Oreochromis niloticus: one gene and its partners. The protein of the gene in region 3 purifies or fractionates together with the protein of the main gene of each other region. This does not show direct contact. Links are inferred from orthologs where the notes say so. Each region holds a gene or a part of one and is shown on either strand. Other genes may lie near its edges.

What was found.
Region 1: the proteins of vapal (region 3) and acbd5a purify together in Homo sapiens (co-immunoprecipitation; 4 studies listed by BioGRID and IntAct, counting the BioPlex papers as one, with this or other methods). This does not show direct contact. The link is inferred for Oreochromis niloticus from reciprocal best matches to the Homo sapiens genes VAPA and ACBD5.
Region 2: the proteins of vapal (region 3) and miga2 purify together in Homo sapiens (co-immunoprecipitation; 3 studies listed by BioGRID and IntAct, counting the BioPlex papers as one, with this or other methods). This does not show direct contact. The link is inferred for Oreochromis niloticus from reciprocal best matches to the Homo sapiens genes VAPA and MIGA2.

What each region holds. Positions count from the first base shown.
Region 1 is NC_031974.2:12,561,905-12,565,657, forward strand, and holds the start of acbd5a (acyl-CoA-binding domain-containing protein 5A), read left to right. Parts: upstream 1-1,389; 5' UTR 1,390-1,544; exon of another isoform or gene 1,545-1,545; intron 1,546-1,889; 5' UTR 1,890-1,930; coding exon 1,931-2,027; intron 2,028-2,268; coding exon 2,269-2,389; intron 2,390-3,710; coding exon 3,711-3,753. UniProt on the Homo sapiens protein: Acyl-CoA binding protein which acts as the peroxisome receptor for pexophagy but is dispensable for aggrephagy and nonselective autophagy. Binds medium- and long-chain acyl-CoA esters.
Region 2 is NC_031972.2:16,050,565-16,054,317, forward strand, and holds the start of miga2 (mitoguardin 2), read left to right. Parts: upstream 1-1,401; 5' UTR 1,402-1,550; intron 1,551-2,324; 5' UTR 2,325-2,464; coding exon 2,465-2,560; intron 2,561-2,638; coding exon 2,639-2,849; intron 2,850-2,974; coding exon 2,975-3,090; intron 3,091-3,204; coding exon 3,205-3,325; intron 3,326-3,753. Other genes in the region: st6galnac4 (alpha-N-acetyl-neuraminyl-2,3-beta-galactosyl-1,3-N-acetyl-galactosaminide alpha-2,6-sialyltransferase), read right to left, coding at 104-250, 352-363. UniProt on the Homo sapiens protein: Regulator of mitochondrial fusion: acts by forming homo- and heterodimers at the mitochondrial outer membrane and facilitating the formation of PLD6/MitoPLD dimers. May act by regulating phospholipid metabolism via PLD6/MitoPLD.
Region 3 is NC_031982.2:24,673,378-24,677,130, forward strand, and holds the start of vapal (VAMP (vesicle-associated membrane protein)-associated protein A, like), read right to left. Parts: upstream 2,244-3,753; 5' UTR 2,145-2,243; coding exon 2,087-2,144; intron 1-2,086. UniProt on the Homo sapiens protein: Endoplasmic reticulum (ER)-anchored protein that mediates the formation of contact sites between the ER and endosomes via interaction with FFAT motif-containing proteins such as STARD3 or WDR44.

The DNA of each region.
Region 1 (3,753 bases), on a different chromosome or scaffold from region 3:
AGTGAGGAGGCTCACTACATCCGCAATATTGTGTGCGAACATTTTACTCTCGATTTTATTTCATTTTAATTCCGCACAAGGGACAGGAGGAACAAGCGTATTTGAGAGTATCTGAGATATATTAGGAGAAAAAAAAGCCAAATTGATCATTTACGGTGAATATATGTATTTGGCCAGTTTTACTTAGAAATTTTAATTCACTTTGGATGAAAATGGTAATTTTGGAATAAAGAAAGTAATTTTAGTTGAGTTATTATTTTATTTTTTGAAGGAAATTGTGCAGAATAAAACGTTATCTTATTGCAGTATATTCTACAATATTCTAAATGGCAACATTTTTATAACAACAGAGAAAACGGTACATTTTTAAAATGAATAGAACATTTTTTAGACATTTTTAAATTCATTGTTGTGACAATACTAAGCAAAATTTTGACCCAGCCTTCATTTCTAGATATTTTTCCTGGAAAATGTGAAACATGTTATTGAAACATGAGCAAACATACATGGAAATATAGCATGAAAGGCAGAACCAGTTTGTACAATTATAATACACTTGATTGTCTACTAATTCGTCTGTTATGCATAGATACAACAGTTGGTCCTCTCTTGAGTTGAGTATCTTTTCTTATGCTTAAATGATGCACAGATCAGTTTTATGAGGGGTTTAATGAACAGAAAAAAAATCCCCAGCAGCCCATACCCAAAGAAAAACGTAGAAAGAATTCAGAAAGCCTGGAGAACTTTTGCTCAAGACCACTTAAAAAATAATAATACAAGAACATCTGGCTACTTGGAAGCAAAATATAAAGAATTTTGATTTGATTTGAAGAAAATATTTTATGTATTTATTTATGTTTTAAGCATACCTCTAGCCCTGAGTTGATACTGAACCACAGATACAGAAAGATGTACATACCCATACAGATGTGGGTATATATATTAGCAGGGTATGTATATGTAATGTGTATATGTAATGTATTTCCACTTTACATGAGAATGTATGTCGCGAGGTGTGGACGCGGAATTAGGTAGAAGAATATTGCATGCAGTTATTGTAGGATCGCGTTCAGCAGTGTTGCATCTTATCTGTCTGAAGGATTTAAGGACAAAGTGAGAGCTCTAGCTTTTTTCTGCTGTCGACCTATCAGTCTTCCAACGAAGAGGGAGGGAAAAAAAGAAAAAACATGGATCTATCTAGAGCATGTTGGGATGTGTAGTTTTACGTGTCGAACTGTCGCGACATGAGTTTGTGTTTTCAGCCATAAGAGTGAAGTAACATTATATATTTCACTTCTCATCAGCTTTCTCACTCGTTTGACTTTAATATGTTGTTTTCATATCTAAACCATATTTTCACAGACGTTTATTGTTTGTTTTCTTCATGTGGACGCAGAGGATTGTGGAGTTTGTAGGCGCCATCGATATTCAGCGAAATGCAACAATAAGACTACAATTCCCACAGTGTGTGCTGTTCATGGCGTCTGGTCAAGGGCTAATGACAAGTCGCCTTCTGACAAACAGATAGGCCCGTGATTTTAACGGTAAGTAACGGCGGTTTTAAGCGTTGTTTTTTTTCTCGAAAGTGTGTCAGTGTAGATACCGTTTAGTGGAAACGACAGTGTCGCTAAAGCTGTGCCACACGTTAAACGTTGTGTCCTAGATATCCAACTGGCTCAGCCTCCTCCTACTGGTGGTCATAACATACTGTAGACAGTTAACTTTCAAGTGTAGCTGGTCGCATTAGCGTCGCGAAAGTCTGCTCATTTACAGACGAAAACAAACCAAACTGCTGCTCAGAGCTAGCATAGATGCTATAAACAAACGCTTTGAACATTTTATTTTTGTTTTTTTTTTGCAGTTGTCGTGACTTTGTTTACTGCTTGCAGGTGTTGTTGTTGTTGTTGTTGTGCTGTCTGCGAGTGACACGATGGAGGTGGAGAGTGTCCGCGTGGAAGATGAAGGGCGCCTAACCCAGATGAGGTTTGATGCCGCCGTGAAGGTGATCAAGAGTTTACCCCCGAATGGTGAGTGAACACCTCACTAGAAGCTCTCTTTCTCTCACACAGACACACACACAGGCCAGTTCAACCAGCTCAGCCACCCCCGGGCAGGTGCGGTGCAGCAGCTTGTGCGATTTAAATAATCCACTTTGGCCTGCTTGCTTTGTCCCCAAGCCATCACAGATTTGAAAGAAATAGAAATCAGCCACAACTCTGCACGTGGAGGGTAAGGCTTTTTATGTGATGAGAGTTTTCTTTTCCTCAGGTCCCTTTCAGCCCTCCAATGACATGATGCTCAAGTTCTACAGCTACTATAAACAGGCCACTGTGGGACCATGCAACATACCCCGACCTAGCTTCTGGGATGTAGTTGGAAAGGCGAAATGGTAAGTTAGGGGGCGGTGGTGGTTGTGCGCTTAGGATTCCTTCAGAACTCAATTCTATGGGGAAAAAAATGTGATTTCAGGGCATAAAAGGAATAATTTGTGCCAAGAGCAATCAGTATACTAAATAATTAGATGCTGTGTTGCTATGATTTGTTTGATTTGTTTATGGCTTGGTGAACCAAAGACAATTTTCCCTCAATGTGAGTAATAAAGTTATTATAGTCTATTCTATTTCTCCTGCACTAATGGTGTAACAGGAAGATGCATGCACTTCTGTGAAGCAAGCTTCCCCACACTGCTTGTTTTAAATCTCTGTGGATCAGTGTACTTCTAAGAATAGTCCCCCAGACACAAACCCTGTTGCTGTTATGTTTTATCATATTTTATCATTCTTTGGCGGTCACATCAAGACAGCTTGTGATATTCAGAAATGAAAATCTCACTCTGTTAAGCTCAGGCTGTGTCAGGTGATCTCTGGACTCATTAAAATTTATCGGTGACCTCTTACCCACAAAGCTGGACAGTTTCTCTCAAGGAGGGGCTTGTGCCTGTGTGTTTTCTCAGTGCTTTACACACGCTGGATACTGTCAGTCTCGAAGCATTGAGTTTGATCATAAACCTTAAGCCCTTGCTCACCGTGATCTGCTTTGTCCTTCTGTAGACTCAGATATAGCTATATTCTTATTTGCAAGTCTGTTTTTAATCTACTAGTTTGGTCAAAAAAGTGCAGGATGTTACTGTTTTTGGTCTCAAGAATTATTCCTTCTGTCTTTCCTTAAAATTGAATTTGTCATTTTGGGGTAAAAAAAAAAAAATAGATTCAGATAACTTGATTAATTCCAAAAAGGTCAGTTTGTTTGTACCTGTTAAGCATGTGGTCTCATAAATGAATTTTAAAGGACTTTGAGGCAGTTGCTTGAACTCTCCTGCCCTGTTTTTGGCCTGGTTTCTATGTAGCTGCTGATTGCACCGCTGCCTGTTCTGGCCAGGACACCCTTGAAAAAGTTATTTTTAATCTTAAACATGATATTTTCTTGGTTAATTAAAGGTTAAATAAACACATATTTCATGGGTAGGTACAGTTTCTAGTGAATGTTTAAGTGTCTGCCAGACTGTGATCCAAAGTTAGTAAATTAGTTGGTGTCCTCAAATAGTCTTTCCATATTGACTCAGCTGAAAACTGGAACTGGCACAAAGGCCTTCAAACACACTTTTGCTGTTTTGCTCTTCTGTGTGTTCCACCTTATAAAATTATATAACAGTGCATGTTTTTTTCTTTTGCTTGCTTTTATTTATTTTATTTATGTATTTATTGTGATAGGGACGCCTGGAATTCTCTTGGAGAAATGTCCAAAGAAGAAGCA
Region 2 (3,753 bases), on a different chromosome or scaffold from region 3:
TAATTAATATGACTGGCTATCAGTTTTCACGGTCACCATGAACTAACGGAACCAGACCTTTGTAAGCGTTTTTTTGTGTAACCCTATCCTCCCTGTGTCTCACCTGGTCCGTTCTGCCGGGCTTGATCCTCGTGTAGCCCTCGAGTGCCTTTCTGCCCGCAGCAGGTGATGGGCCGTCCCGTATCATCACATGTCCAACCCAAAACAACAGAGGGAGGCTCAGGGTGAGCAGGCAAAGCCAGCGAAGCATCTGCACAGGCGGATAACATGTATGAATGTTAGGGTAGTGCAGCTACGCACACATTATTGAACATCCACTGTTTATCGGTTAAATAAGCGAGTGACTCTTACCAGAACGTTCATATCAAGGCCTTCGGGAAACCCCTGCGTTCAATGGCCCGAACGACACTCATTTTTCACGCCGACCCGAGAGAGACGTGCCCAGTCAGCCACCGTCGATTCATGATCACAAAGGTTCCATATCAAAAGATTTTTAATTGCGTTTCCAGATCTGTCAAATTCAAGTATCCGTTTCTTTGTGCGATTACTTTCGTTTTCATCACGTAGCCGAGCTCATTATTCTAGTCTTATTTGCACCATGTTTACATGCACTACCATCTCAAAACTGTGAAGCTGCTCGTTTCTTCCCCAGCTTTGTTGACACAGTACCCTACAAACAATTCCTAGGACCCGCCTTGTAAATTATAACGTTGCCCGTCTTTACAGAATACGACTTCCGGAGCGACTATTTCACAACAAACTATCACCTGAACAAACTTGATAAAAAACATTACTTACCAGAAATAACTGTAACTTTAATAACAATAGTTATAATAACTATGACTTTAACTATATAAACAACTATGGTATAATTTTTTTTTATTATTGTTAGAATTTAAATTAATATAATGACATTAGATGTACTGGCGCGTAATCACTCCTTTATTCTGAAAGAAACATGCCAAAACCGGAAACAGTCTTCTTAATACTTTTGGTTACTTTAAAGTAGCCGTCAATGCTGCGTTCCAGTACCCCTCGTAAACTCTCTTTCCCACAATAGAAGGAAAGTAATTTATAAACATTTTTCAGATGGTGAAACTACGCCGTCCCAAGACTTTTTCTCGTTATACTATTCTAGTAGCCTGACTCCGATGTTATGGCCTTAAGAATATAATTAAGAATATGATAATTCTCTAGATTTCGCCAAACGTAACCCAATTATGTCACTTTAGCATTATTTCTAATTACCAAGTATATATACCGCCTTGAACTTTCTAGCAGCATTTCGCTTCTGTTTGATCAGGATAGAGTGACGATATTTCAAGAACCAATATGTGATTGGATTAGAAAAGTTTTTGCCCCGCCTCACCTTTTCTCCGATTGGTCAAGAAGTAGGTAACTATCTTCACACCTCACCCGACTGGCCCGTGTCCGTGTCTGTATTCTTGCGTTAACTACGTAGGGCGTTAGGAGAAAAAAAAGAATCCACCGTGCGACTTTCACTGACTGTGACACGGGGATGTCCTTCCTTGACGCCTCGGATGATCACGGTATGTACCTACGCAGGGATTATGTTATTAGTTGCGCCTCTGGGGAAGCTGCACACAAAGCCGCCTTGAAGTCTGTAAGGTGTCAGCTCACAGACTTTGCTCTGAAGCCAGCCTGACCTGGTGATGCTATGATGCGGAATGACAGATAAGGCTAGCCGAATAAGCTAGCTAACGTTAGCATATGCTCCTCTAAAAAGACAGTTTCATCCTTGCCAGTGCTAATATTTAGCTGTCATTGACTCGAGCTTTAAAGACAGACATAAACCCTACTGTTGAATTTATGGGAAAGCTCTAAAATAAATTGTGTCAGGAAAATTACTGTTTTCTACTTCCTGAACTGGCTAACAGCTAGCTTTCGCTTTAACATATTGTCAAATTTCTATCAACTAGCAGCCTTGTTGTCGATAACTTCAGTCTGTATGGAACATAGTTGTGCTTTATGTACACTAGTTTGCTTCAGAGATATAGAAAGTCACCCAGTTTCTCATATTGAAGCTACAACTACTATCTTTTGTGAGGCTTTGTCTCGTACAGTATGTTGAATGGCGTGCTTGTTGCCTATTTGCATACCAGACACTCCAGACTGGTTAAGTAGTAGCTGGCAGCGTGTCAGTCTGCTCGCCTTCCAGGTCAAACCATAAACCTGTACAAGTTAAATCTGTGTCTGGAGAGTAGTACAGTGAAAATAGTTTGAACTGATAGCTGCTATTATAATGGTCGTGCAGTTAAAAGCACCTACACTTAGGTAAAAACCTTGTGTTCTATCTGTTGTAGAACAACACGACTGCAGTCAGCCACTGGACGAGAGAGTGGTTGATTACGGATGGTTCATCAGCAGGTCCTGAGCTGGCTGATCTCAGACCAGAGGGGAAACTTAATTTTTGCTGTGGCCTGAAGGCATTATAATTCTTGAGATGTCAATGAGACGAGGAGAAGGGATGTCCATCGCTCAGGCTTTGGCCATGACTGTAGCAGAGATACCCGTCTTTCTCTATTCCACATTTGGGCAGGTAAATCCCTTTATACACATGCACACACAGAGTGTACGCTATGTTTGGTCGTATCCTCACTGCTTCTTTTGCTTTCAGTCCATATTTTCCCAGCTGAGGCTTACACCGAGCCTGAAGAAGGTGCTGTTTGCCACAGCGCTGGGCAGTGTAGCTCTAGCTCTCACTGCTCATCAGTTAAAAAGGCGAGGAAGAAAGAGGAAGCAGGGAACACAAGAAAAGGATGGCCAGAAGACAGTGGGAATACCAGAGTCGCTCATGAAGACAGGACGGCCCTCATCATTAAAGAGAGGTGTGAAGACAGAATATTATGTTTCTTCTTTTTGTTGTTGTTGTTGTTGTTACGGGCTGTTTAGCGTCTTTCAGCAGTGGTTGCTGTGAAACATTCAATGAGGAAATGTTTTTCTTTTGGGACAGCCCCGTTTACTGGTCGACAGATGATGAGTCCCAGCACTCGAAGCAATGATACGATGAGTGGAATTTCCTCCCTGGCTCCCAGTAAACACTCAAGTTCATCACACAGCCTGGCATCTGTAAGTTTTATACTTTTTTTTTTTTTTTGTTGTGTTTGCTTTATTTTTGACTTATTATTATTTTTTTCACCATCTTCGGGTGTATATGTGTTTGCATGCACATTTCCGACGTAGACGCGAGTCCCAAGCTCTCCAAATCAGTCTGCCAATCCATCCACCCCATGGGAGGCAGAGCCTGTGGTGGAAGAGTCAGGGGCAGTAGAGGATGCTAATGCAGAGAATCTCTATTTAATGGGTAAGTATTCACATATTCACTAAAACTTGTGGGTTTTTTTTGTTTGTTTTTATTTTTTAATATAAAAAACAGCGTAAAGCCACTTTTTTTTTTTTTTTGTCTTTTCACTATTTGAAGATGACATTAGAGCACAAGCTATCTATAATTACATGCAACCAATATTAATCAGTATCAATTTGATGCAAAAATACCAGTTCCTGTAACTCTGTAGATTTGTAGTGCAGTACCATTATTTTTCACCTTACGAGTAATGTGCTTAAAACTGTTTTCACACAGCCTTTAATTACTCTTTTAATTAACTGGGGGACTGTATGTGAGTGATGTTTGAATGAATTGGACTGACATACAGCAGGTTTTAGTCTATGTAAAATCTCACTGAGCCCATGTGTGAATTGAACTGCTGTGTACTACATGTAAGAGGGGGCATA
Region 3 (3,753 bases):
ATGAACAGCATCATACTAATGCAATTTAGCTTTGCATCCAATCCAGAATATAAAAGGCCAAAAGTTTAATCTGATGAGGGAAAATGTAAACCGTGTGACTGATCAGTAACAGGAATAAGTCAAATTAGAGTAGAATTTCTTAATCGGGTAAAAAAAAGTAGAGGTCCATGATCAGATTATGACGAACCATGTGTCTACCATCAGGCTAAATACCCATGAAATTTTAACGTTCAGCTGGAGAAAATTTCATTTATGTATTCTGGTTTACCTTGTTGCTCCCAAAAAAACAACCTGTCTGAGACAAATAACACTATTGGTGGCTTTCCAACAATATGATTGAAGAATTTTATCATAATAGCACCATTAACCTGTTGATTGATGCTGTTATTATGACATAACAAATGTGAGTTTAATCAAATGGTTACTACCCTTTTCCAGATGTCTTTAAACTTAAGCCAGAGCAAGTTTTTACTGATTTACATCCTTATCCCTGTCCAATTACAATGTCAGCCTGCTGGAAAAGGCTCCATTCACCATCACACTTTCTGTTGCACCTTGCATGATAAAAACATTCCCGGATTTTAATCAATGTACACAAATTTTATGAGTTTCAGTTTTAACATGAGGGTTTTTTTGGGGGGGGGTTGCCTTTATTCTACTTGTGTCACCGTCAGGCAAAATAATACAGGCAAAATAATAATAATTTTAGTTTCACCCTGGACACCTCATCACCAAAACATTCAAATTATTACACCCCACCCAAAGACACAGTGGGTCTGGAATGTGAGCTTGTGTCCTTCCTAACGATCCTGTCAGGCTACAACCAGTATCAATTCACACCTTGTCCCAACACCAGTGTCCTCTTATAACCTCGTCCAGGACAGTGGTACATTCAACAGAAAGAGAAATAACTGTCTAGTTCGCAAAAATGCCTCCAGCAGACACAGAGCTTGGTAACTGGGACAAATACGAGAAGTGCTGTGCGGATTTCTGGGTCAAAATGAATAATGATGAGGATAAATAGTCCAACTGTGGAGATTGTTGTGTCACCCATGGCCTGGTAGGGCTAGCTTCATTGAAATCAGCGCCGTTTACTGCCACTTCATTCACTTGACCACAAGAGCAACAGTTGGACTCACAAATGACCAAAAGTTATGTTCTATCTATGACTTTTAAAAAATGTGATTTTTGGTCTCTTCAGGTCTGTCAGACGCAAAACAATACGGTTATACAACTACACATCAACTTTGGCATTAGCAGGCTAGCCAATGCTATCATTAGCCAACGGTTAACTGACACATCACTGGACGTTATCACTACCAGGAAAAGCAATCAGTGCCAACCGAATACGTGAAGCACCCTGCTTTCCCATGAATGTGCCGTCCTGTTTTGTCCAGGATGCGAACACACGCTTAAAATTAGCCAACATTTAGCTAATAGGTTTAGATCAACTGAACTAATGTTAGCCCGGTGTTGCTATTAAAAAAAATAAATAAACTATACATGCTGTTACAGTTCACGTTAGCTAACCAAGTTTGTCATTCCAACTGTCAGCCACTTTACTGGCTTCACAAGTTCCTGCCACAGGTGTATCAAGATGAACGCCGGATTTTTCATTCTGAAATTAATTTCTTTCCAGGGAATAGCCTAAGCCCCAAGAAACAACAGTTTACTCCTGCTAACACAACTAGCAACAGCATAGTAGCTGATATTAAATGTGAAGACATACACAAACATGCTTCTTAACGTGTAGACTTTAACTCTCCTTTTTTTAAGCAGTCACTGACAGCCACATCCTTCCAGCTCTTTGCCTGGTACTGTCAGTAAGCTGGTACTGAATAGCAGGCCACCTGGGCGCACGCCTGCCCGGCTATCCACGTCACTATAGCGCCGGGCTGCAGCGGCCCGTCCGGCTCCCTGGCTAACTTAAAATGGCGGTGAATGCTAGCTAGCTTGCTAGCACGAAATTCGCTTGAGGGAGTGTGAAATCATTGCTTCACCACCACTACTACTACTACTACTACTCGCTGGACATTTTACACGGCAACAACTAAATAAATAAATAAATAATAGTTCATTCACATACCTTTAAATCTGAGGTCAGACGGAGGGTCGAGGATAAGGATCTGATCCAACTTTGACATGTTGGCTGAAGGGATGCACTTGATTTCGGTATCGTGGAGTTAACTGACAAGTGGAAATCCTGGATCCCTTCTGCCTCTACTGAGTCAAACGCTGACTGAGCTCAGCGAGCATGTGGGTACAAATACTTGAACGCGCGAGTGCACAGCCCTCTGTTGCGCGCACTCGTGGTCTGGCAACTGATGCGATTATGGTACAGTAAACGAGTTATAATGTGTGGACACTGAGATAGACGTACAGGGAAGGAAAAACATGTTATAAAATAATCTTATAAAATCCCGACGTGACCGGTACCAAGTTAAATTGTGCTTTATTGATTTAATCGAGAATTTTAATCAAGGAAGTCTCATAATCGCGTGTCTGCAATATACTGTACATGCACATTAAATTCACTCTGCAATAGTCTAGTTAAACCTGTTAGAAGTATTAGTGAACGTACATGTAACGTAAATGTAAGTGTTGTTTGTGATTTAAAGGACATGTTGAGGTTGCTGTGTAGCACGGGTCACACGTTGCCCTGGTAACAGTACCGGTGTTGTGCCAAAAACTGGTCAGCCTTTAAACCTGCTTGTTTACGACGTAAACAATGGGTACATTCAAACTAAACCACAGATTACTAAACCGGTAGTCCCTTAGTAGTATCTTATTTTCACAGAAGTGATTTTTTTCCATCAGTGCAAAGTTTCATGATTCGGGATATCAGTCAATCCCTGCACAACCTCAGTTCCTAAAACATTAGGCTATTTTAGATTTGGAGATCTTATAACCCCATGATTTTAACCACTATTTTTAACAACAGTTGTATCCCTCTGGGAACTGGGGAGACCAGTTGGTGGACTTTAGGGAGAGGAATGTCGCCTGGTTGTTGTCTGATATACGACTCTAGCTGCTCAAAAATTCCAGGTCTTCTTCTTTGTTTTTACTTTTCATTTCATTATGCTCATAATGCTTTCCATGGGTGAAAAGTCTGATATACAGGCAGGCCAGGTCAGCACCTGGACTCTTCTCCTACTAAGGCAGTAATCAGATTAGCATAGTCTGAAATATGCAAAGCTTTTCCTGAAAGAGGACGTCATCTGGATGGGAGCTTTATGTTGCTCTAAAAAGTGTATATACCTTTCAGCAGTGATGATTGCTTTTCCACCTGGAAAAAGGTGTTACACAAGCTCCCAGTTACACAAGCATTAATTCCCAGACAGTGATTTCTGGAAGTGTTCCTGAGCCCACTCAGTGATTTCCATGACAGAATCATGACTTTTTTTTGATGCAGTGCTGCTTGAACGCAGACTGGTGACCTTCTACCCATCTTTACTTCTCAGAACTTTGCTGCTCTAAGATAATTTTTTAAAATCCAGTCACTGTCACTGACCAACTAACCTAACTACTGTAGTTTGAAAATCTTCCTTCAGCTGTTTCTTTTTTAATTAATACTGAAGTCAGTGCAGAAAAACACCAACTGGCCTAGGAGAACTCTTTCTAAAAGAGAAAAAAAACACTTTTTATTCGAGAGACAAAACTCAACACATTTTGGGCCATCATGTGAGCGTAGATGAAAAGGGGAATGCTAAAAGGGGGAATTTAAGATGCTATTTGCGAGGAATCCAGGGATTT